Linked DNA regions of Mus musculus. The protein of the gene in region 2 interacts with the protein of the main gene of each other region in a pairwise test. Links are inferred from orthologs where the notes say so. Each region holds a gene or a part of one and is shown on either strand. Other genes may lie near its edges.

Region 1 (3,661 bases), on a different chromosome or scaffold from region 2:
AGGGGGAACATGTCCCACTCCACGTCAGTGTGAGGTACCCGACGGACTGGGGCTTGAGTTAGTGAGAATGGAGTCAATCAGTTGGTTCTCTTACTCCTGTCTAGAAAGCACCTAGAACACATGGAGCCTGAATCATCTATCAGAAAAAAAGAGAAGGTACAATCACTCACATTCCCCAGCAAAGGGGCGTAGGAGGCCATTTATGTGGTTTGGACAATATTCTGGTCCAACATCCTGAAGCAGTATTACTTCTGCTCTGATACATCACAGCCACTGTGGTCCTGTCTGATGCTTTATGGTGTTACTGATATGCATCAAAAAATCCAAGCCAGCTAACCATGCCATACCCCTCTGCTCTCTCTCTCTCTCTCTCTCTCTCTCTCTCAAAAAAAAAAAAAATTAGCAGGATGGCACTACATCGCTCTGGCTGGATCCAGAGAGCCTTCCGTGAAGACAATAAATCCAGTCTTCATCATCTTTTAAAATGCCATGTCATGGGTACCAGTGCCTTAACTGAGTTCATTTACTAAGAGAGTAGAGGCAAGCCAAGACAGGCACCATGCAGGAACCGTTTATCACCTTTCCTATGTGCAACCCCTCTGGGCTGGTCCTTCTGGAGCTCTTGTGTATTGTTCCTGAAGCCTGGGCTTGCTTTTTCTTTCAGCTCTAAGACCGCCCTCCGCGTGGGGAGCAGCGATACTCAGATGGATGAACCCAAGACCATGCCTGCCAGCAGCCACCTGGTGAGCCACCTCACCTGCCCCATGTGCAACCGGCTGCGCCTGCACTCCTTCATGCTGCCCTGCAACCACAGCCTATGCGAGAAGTGCCTGCGGCAGCTGCAAAAGCACGCCGAGGTCACGGAGAATTTCTTCATCCTCATCTGCCCCATGTGCAGCCGCTCGCACTGTATGCCCTACAGCCACCAGATGCACCTGCCAGAAAACTACCTGCGCGGGCGCCTTACTAAACGCTACATGCAGCAGCACGGCTACCTCAAGTGGCGCTTCGACCGCTCCTCAGGGCCCATCCTCTGCCAGGTGTGCCGCACCCGGCGCATTGCCTACAAGCGCTGTGTCACCTGTCGTCTCAACCTGTGCAACGACTGTCTCAAGGCCTTCCACTCAGACGTGGCCATGCAGGACCACGTCTTCGTGGACACCAGCGCTGAGGACCAGGATGAGAAGATTTGCATCCACCATCCATCCAGCCGCATCAACGAGTACTGCCGCAGCGACAACCAGCTACTCTGCGCTTTCTGCAAGATCGCTTTCCACAATGGCCATGACACGGTCAGCCTCATAGACGCCTGCTCCGAGAGGTCTGCTGCCCTCTTCAGTGCCATCGCCAAGTTCAAAGCAGGTCCCGATCAGTTTCCTGCTCCCCTTCAGTGTAACTCCCAGCTGTGAAAAAGACCAGAGGATGCTGTAGGGAACCTTTTGGGGGCAGGTTGTGGGGTGGGGTAGGGGGAGGTGCTCAAGCTGGTGGAGAAATCTAGACACTGGGAGAGCCTGAGATGGCCGCACAGGTATCCATGACAGCTATCACTGGCCAGTTAGTGTCTCTGTGACTCAGTTTTTTCAGCTATAAAATGGGAAGGATAGTGGTAGCTTCCTCATTGGGTTGGTGAGGATAAGAGGAGCTATCTTATGAAACATTCTCTCACCTCTGGAAAACAAACTGGAGAATAATAAGCACAGAAAGATCCTGTCGTTTTTGTTACAATTTTATTGAACTTTTGTCCCATTTTCCAAAAGGGAAAAATAAGTTTTCTCCAGTCACATCCCGAAGTTCTGCTTGTTTGTTTGTGTGTGGTGGTGGTGGTGGTGGGGTGTTTGGTAGTGGTGGTTTTTTGTTTTGTTTTTTTTTTCTGAGCATAACAGTTATTTTTAACTCCACCTCCCTGTTTCCAGGGGGGAAGAACTAATATAACGCTGAGAATCATCTCAATTGAAGTTATCTACCATGAACTTTCTGTCAAAATTGTAGGCAACAAATTTAAAGAACTGCTAATGGCCACATGGTAATAGGGAAACTCCAAAATAGGAGTAATATTCTGGCCAGCTCCTTTTTTTCCCTTCTGTCATGGTTGTTCATATTGGTGTATAATATAATTTATATAAAACCAACCCTGCTTTTTATACTAGAGCAAAGTACAATAATTTTTTGTAAAGTTCCATAAAAGTTTCATAATATCAAAATGTGCCTTTACCAGGTCAGACATGTCTCTGTCTCCAGGTAGACCTAGAAATTCATTTAGGGAATGGCTCCGCCCATAGAGGACCACTTCATATAGGTCTTTGTCTTAAAGTTTCTATTGCTGTGGTAAAACACCATGACCAAAAAACACTTGGGGAGGGAAGGGCTTATTTTATAATTCCACATCATAGTCTAGCATTCAAGGAAATCATGACAAGAATGTGAGACAGGAACCTGGAAGCATAAACTGGCAGAAGCCATGGAGGGATGCTGCTCCCGGCTTGCCCATTCATGATTAGCTCAGTCTGCTATGTTATAGCATCCAGGACCACCTGTCCAAAGCTAGCACCATTCACAGAGAGCCAGGAACTTCCAGCATCAATCATCAGTCAAAATAATGCCTTCGGACTTGCCTACAAACCAATCCTATGGAGTCATTTTCTCTATTAAGATTCTTTGTTTCCAGATGACCCTAGACAGAATGCTCTAGGAATATACCATGCCAGGCTCAATAAGCATACAGGGCAGATGTGGTGTACACTCCATGCATGAGACAGCTGTGCTTAAATAAAGTGGTCGGCAAAAGGCAGCTAGTAAGTCATGCACCCAGACTCTAACACCAGTGCTGAACAGTGACAAGACTCTCTTTTAAATTTAAAAAGAGTGTGGGGTGGAATTATTACTACTTATATTCCATGTCTATAAGAAGTGGTCTACCATCAATGGCTGAAGAATACTAGGTCAAGCTTGGTTGTTAAGACACCATTTAGTAGACATCAGGGAAAGTTACGTGTGCCAGGGGCATGTGGAGGAAGAATAGAGGGGAATTTATTTCAAAAGCCTGTTGTAGCCTGTGTCAGCCAAGCTAGGTGTTTCTCTCTCTCTCTCTCTCTCTCTCTCTCTCTCTCTCTCTCTCTCTCTCTCTCTCTCTCTCTCTCTCTCTCTCTGTCTCTCTCCATTTCCTTTGAGTCCAGAGATTTGCTTCAGTTTGATATGGCTTTGATATCTGTAGAGATGAAAATATTCACGGTAACCGACTTGGTTGTTTTTTTTTTTCAGTCCGATATGAAATTGATAATGACCTGATGGAATTCAACATTCTAAAGAGCAGTTTTAAAGCTGACAAGGAAGCAAAGAGGAAGGAGGTCCGGAATGGTTTCCTCAAACTGCGAGCCATCCTTCAAGAGAAAGAAAAGATCATCATGGAACAGATAGAGAATCTGGAAGTGTCCAGGCAGAAAGAAATTGAGAAATATGTGTACATTACGACCATGAAAGTGAACGAAATGGATGGCCTGATTGCTTACTCCAAAGAAGCCCTGAAGGAAACAGGACAGGTGGCCTTCCTGCAGTCTGCCAAGATCCTGGTAGACCAGATTGAGGAGGGCATCCAGAATACCTTCAGGCCCGACCCTCAGCTGCGGCTTCACTCCCTACACTGTATCCCCTTGGATTTTGCTGA
Region 2 (2,874 bases):
ACTCCCTGTGATTAAGTATTAAAATATATGAGCCTATGGGGCTCATTTTTATTCACATTGCCATAATGCATTAGAAGAAGGGTTCCAATAATGGGAACACTTGGGAATATTGTCCTGTCATGGCCAGAAGTCATTTTGTGGGGGAAACCAAGTCAGATCCTAAATCATTTGAGCTCTTCACGTCTTGTTTTGTCTTACAGAACTGTGATTTGTCGGGGTGTGACCTCCAGGAAGCCAACCTGAGAGGCTCCAATGTGAAGGGTGCCATATTTGAAGAGATGCTGACACCATTACATATGTCCCAGAGTGTCAGATGAGAGTGGCAGGAGCTGGAGGAAGATGTCCCAGATGGAAGCGTTTCCTTATTTTATTTCTCCATCCATCCATCGAGTTGTGTAGTGGAGATAAAATTGTAAGGGAATTTAAGGCATATGCTTGTTCCCAGAGGTGCATAAGGGGAAGTAATTGGCTTTCCCCTCATTGGGACTGTAACAGAAGGACACTCTGTTCATAGATGTAGGGGCAGTAGATGATGCTGCTGCATTTTGAGTGGAGTTGGGGCATTTGTCTGGTCTCTGACCAGGAGTAGTAGCTATTATATTTGCTTTTATTTAGGCATTGTGTGGAAGTGCCATCTTGGTTCAAGATGCATTTGAAATTTTAATTTATGAAAAGCACAACATATGCAAATATATTTATTGAATACCTAGATGCAGTAAGGATGTTTAAGTTGTTAAATGTCTTGAAGACTCTGAAGAGTTGTTCAGGTTTATAAATAGCTTTAGTGATGCCTTCCTCTTCACACACCTATCTATCACATGAGGGTGGTTAGTTTAAGACTCCCTGTGGCTCTTTTGAGATTCATTTCTATAATGTTTACTTTTAAAGAAGAAAACAGCTAAATTTGAGTCATAATCTGCTCTCACATTTTGAGACACAGTGGACGGAAAGCTCTTGTGTATCCTTGTGCAGGAGAAGGAAGGGCTCACCAGTACTGCAGCTGTCTAGTGAGCATGCTTCTGCTTCATTGGAGGCAAGTCCCATTCTGCACGAGACTAGGCTACTCTTTCCCTTCACTCGTCCAGTTCTCATGCTCAGTTGTCACAAGCACAGGAAGAAACGTCAGAACCAAAATACAAGCTTTAGCCTGATCACAGTTCATGTAATGCCAATTAGTTTATACACAACCAGCTTAGAATAGACTTTCAATCTGAATCTACTGCAGGTGGAGTATGAATAAATCCTGCAGTCGCCTACAAGAAGGCAACATCAGATAATTATAGCTGAAACCCTGCAGAGGGGACTAAGAAATTCTAAACTGATGGCTTGATTATAGCCACCAGGAAAGGTTGATGAACAAAGGAAGCATTTGGCTAGGACACGATGCTCTATGTCAGTACCTGTGGCTCGCTCTTTTTTTTTTTTCTTAAATAGTTTTTGTTGTTTGTCTTGTTTTTCAATGAAATTTTAGTCCAGTTTTCTTGAGTCATTATCTGTGAACACAGTAGTAGGGCCTTTACCTTCCTCGTAGGTGTCCCAGTGTCCTTATTTGTTGCCCAAAAGCAGGGAAGAAGCTGTGTCCAAATGGGTTCTAAATCCTACAGGCTGGTCGGCTTGAGGCAGTGAATCATTACAGACTCCCTAGTCTCCTTCAGGAGAGTGGCATGTCTTCATTATTCTGTAGCGTATTCTTATATCTACATATGCAAAGCTTTCCTTCACAGTAAAGGGCTTACATGGGGAGGAGAGCACTCCTTTACAGGGAAAGGAAAGCAATTTCAAAAATGAATTATTTTCTTTGTGTTATTATTTTTACCAAGACAGAGAAGTATTGTATTGAGAGATACCTATTTTCATAATCAATATGTGCCTAAATTCTATTTAACTCATTTCACTGCACTCTATTTTCAATAATTATAGACTGTATTCATTCACTGAATGGTCCTCTGCAGACATATCTGAGGCTGCAGAAGGAGCTGAAAGATGGAAACACAGTGTGTGTGGGAACTGCGGGGTTCAGAGCTGATGGAAACCACATTAATAAATGACCAGTGTGGAACGCTGACGGCCTGTTTCTGCTCTTGCTTTTCTAAGACAGCACTTTCTGCATTTCCCACAGTTCTTCATGATGGTGCCATGTAGGAGCGGACCACACAGGCCGCGCTCTTAATGGATTAGGTTTCTTGAAAAAGCCATTAAAGCACATTTACTTGTTGGGTGTGGTTTCCTGACTGTCTTTTCACAGACCACCATGCTCCAGCATTTCCATTTCTGCACTAGGGAAGACACCCAGTGATTTGTGTTGCTCTGTAGCTGATGAACATCAATGATGGTTTGCTGTGTTGAGTAAGAGATCTAGGAGAGAGATTGGTAAAAAAGGAGGAAGGTTCCAAAGAGAAAGGCTTGGCGTGAATGTGTGTGTCTATAAGTTAAAATAGCATGGGAGGGCTGCAGAAAGGTTCTCAGCCTAAACTGTCGAAGACAATACATGTCAGGCTCTGATATAGTCAAGTTCCTCAGAAACCATTTGAAGGGATTTTTGAATAAGAAATATTATAAAGTCATTATTATGATGGATTCCATTATTAAGACCTATTTTCTCCAGTTCATTTTATGAATCTGTTATTTATGTCATAAGTGAACTTTAAATCATCTTTTATACATGAAAAACTCTAGAACTATATTACATTCCCCAAGGAGGTAGTATCTTTAAAATACAAAGCGTCAAACTACAAAGGAAAGTGGCTGCATTATTTCAGGATAAAACATGTTCCCCAAGGCTTTATTCTCAGCCTTTTTACTGCCTGGCTTAGCAGTGTGAGTGGCAGTTAGCCCCACAGTCCTCCTGCTGAGATTTTACATTAGGGCAAGACA
Region 3 (2,541 bases), on a different chromosome or scaffold from region 2:
GTTTTAGGGAGTTGAGATCTGGAGAGGGAGTATAGAAGCTATTTCCATAGATCTTTCTGAATTCTAATATGCAGCTTTTATAGGGGATCAAATAAAAATGCACGTCAATTTTGTCCTCATGTTTGTATGTTAGGTGTGGATTTTGTATCTTATGAAACAATTTCATTGTTTGCAGATGTCTAACACAGGCAACTGGATGCATATTCGTTACCAATCTAAATTGCAAGCCCGGAAAGCCTTAAGCAAAGACGGGAGAATATTTGGAGAATCCATCATGATTGGTGTCAAGCCATGTATAGATAAAGTAAGTTGTGGGTGATTTAAGGAAAGTAGCTTACTTATTCTGCATGAAGAGTGCAGGTAAATATTAACATTAGTGTTTGTCCTTTAGCCTCACCTTTCTTCTTTTCCCTAGTTTGTGAAATGGCATTACAAGATGTTAGAGATTATCTCTCTGAACTCTTCATTTTTTTTAAAAAAGAAAGGTAACTTGTGTGGAGTAGTACTAAAGTAGATTTTAGGTGTCTGGACCACTAGCCCTCTCTGACTTCTGCTCAGAGCATATCAGGGTTTATAAACTTTCTAATGACTGGTGCTGCTCAGCACAGACATGTCACATGGATGCTAACTGACTTTAAGTAGCTAAAGTTTTCTGATAATCATTTCTGTTTCAGAGTGCTAAAGTTTATTTTATATGTACTTTTTCAACATTGGTGAGTAGAATTTTCAACATTAGTGAGTAGAATTTAAGTTTTGTGGCTTAAAAAAAAAACCCCTTTGGAACATACTTTAAATAAATATATGCAAACCTTTTCCTGAATGCTGCATACTAGTTTCTGTGCCTGTTGCCAGTGCACACACAAAGCAGGCAAAGCAGACGGTGTTTCTTAGAACGCATAAGGGAACCTGAGTAGGAAGAGACACTCAGAGTCTGAAGCTGCATGGCACCCAGGACCCCCAGAGTCCTCTCTTCCCTAGGGCTCTCTGATGGCACTATAGGAATTGTACAGTTATACGAGTTAGTTCTGTTTGTCCTTGCTGACTTACCTTAGGGTCTGCTCTAAGACGCTTTAAACAAATGCACATGTTTATCATGTGTTCCGGGCTTATCCATCCCCATTCCTCTCTCACGTCCTCTGGAGCCTGCTATTCCAAAACATCTGTCTTATGCAGAGACTCTTGTTCTTGTGATATATAATTAAATTGAGGCTGTTTGATTTGGATTAGATCCCAAATTCTAGCTAAGAAATAGTATTTATTCTCAAAGCTAAGTTTACTTAAAAACTTAAATGGTCAAATTTAGTAGTCTTTAATAAGTTTGTGTGTGTGTGTGTGTGTGTGTGTGTGTTTGGGTGTTTTGGGGAAAGTATTACACAGTATTAGATGATGTGTCCCATGTTTCTTTATTTCTCCAGAATGTCATGGAAAACAGTGACAGAGGAGTCTTGTCATCTCCATCTCTAGCCTTTACAACACCCATCAGGACTTTAGGCACTCCAACACAGTCCGGAAGCACTCCTAGGGTTTCTACCATGAGGCCTCTTGCCACAGCATACAAGGCCTCCACTAGTGACTACCAGGTATTCTTAGGATACATGTAGCCTGTTTACTGTTTCATTAGATCAGTGGTGTGTGTGTGTGTGTGTACAGTTAAATGTTTACTCTTCATTTTCCTTGATGAAGCCTTCAAACTTCTAAATTTCTCATTTTTAAAGTTAGAGCCTTCACCAGTTCAAAAGGAAGGGGAAGGGGGATGGGATGGGAGGTTTTGGAGGGGAAAAAAGGATAAAAATTTAAATGTAAATAAAGAAAATATCTAATTAAAAAAAAGGAAAAAAAAGAAAGTTGTCTTTAATTTTGCAGCAGTTTCTTTCTTTGGGCTGGGGACATAGCTCAGCATTTTATGCAGCATGTGCCACAGGTATATGGTTTGATCTCCAGTACTGCAAAGCAAAAGAAAACAGTTCTTAAAACCAAAATATTATTCATTGCTGGCATGAAAAAAAATATTAAACTTTATCAAGTTGATTATAAAACTTGTAAACGAAAACAAAAAAACTTTACAATGCAATAGTATCAGTTATCAAAGGAAGGTGACCAGCTTTGAATATCAGATGAGAAAGTGGTCATTTAAAAAATGTAAAGAAATCCATTGCCTTCTCAAGAATGGTATGGGAACTGAGATGCTTAAGCTGTTATTGGCCCCATTGATTTCCCGAGAGTCCTGGATTTTGGCACAGGCCATGATACCTGCACATGAAGTATGCGTGAGCTGTCAGATGGTTGGGGGAATTTCCCATTGTAGTCTCCTGAAATTTGGAGATCATTACAGAATTTGAGTTTTTTGTTATTACTCTTTAGATCTGTATTTTAAATTCCTCATTTTGTAGGGTTTGGTTTTACATAGTTTTCTAACTAGAAGATGTTAAAAATTCGAATTTTAATGTCAGAATTAAATAGTTAACTGTAGAATTACCTGCCACTAAGGAAACTAACCTGATACATTTTTATTCTTTCTCTTTTTTGTTGTGATGTGTTATT

The links.
Region 1: the proteins of Kctd9 (region 2) and Trim42 interact in binary tests that used the Homo sapiens proteins (3 or more experiments, as listed by UniProt). The two-hybrid records come from large-scale screens. The link is inferred for Mus musculus from reciprocal best matches to the Homo sapiens genes KCTD9 and TRIM42.
Region 3: the proteins of Kctd9 (region 2) and Nup35 interact in binary tests that used the Homo sapiens proteins (3 or more experiments, as listed by UniProt). The two-hybrid records come from large-scale screens. The link is inferred for Mus musculus from reciprocal best matches to the Homo sapiens genes KCTD9 and NUP35.

The regions. Positions count from the first base shown.
Region 1 is NC_000075.6:97,363,304-97,366,964, reverse strand, and holds part of Trim42 (tripartite motif-containing protein 42), read left to right. Parts: intron 1-664; coding exon 665-1,362; intron 1,363-3,258; coding exon 3,259-3,661.
Region 2 is NC_000080.6:67,740,096-67,742,969, forward strand, and holds the end of Kctd9 (BTB/POZ domain-containing protein KCTD9), read left to right. Parts: intron 1-200; coding exon 201-317; 3' UTR 318-2,215; downstream 2,216-2,874. UniProt on the Homo sapiens protein: Substrate-specific adapter of a BCR (BTB-CUL3-RBX1) E3 ubiquitin-protein ligase complex, which mediates the ubiquitination of target proteins, leading to their degradation by the proteasome.
Region 3 is NC_000068.7:80,655,774-80,658,314, forward strand, and holds part of Nup35 (nucleoporin NUP35), read left to right. Parts: intron 1-175; coding exon 176-304; intron 305-1,415; coding exon 1,416-1,580; intron 1,581-2,541. UniProt on the Homo sapiens protein: Functions as a component of the nuclear pore complex (NPC).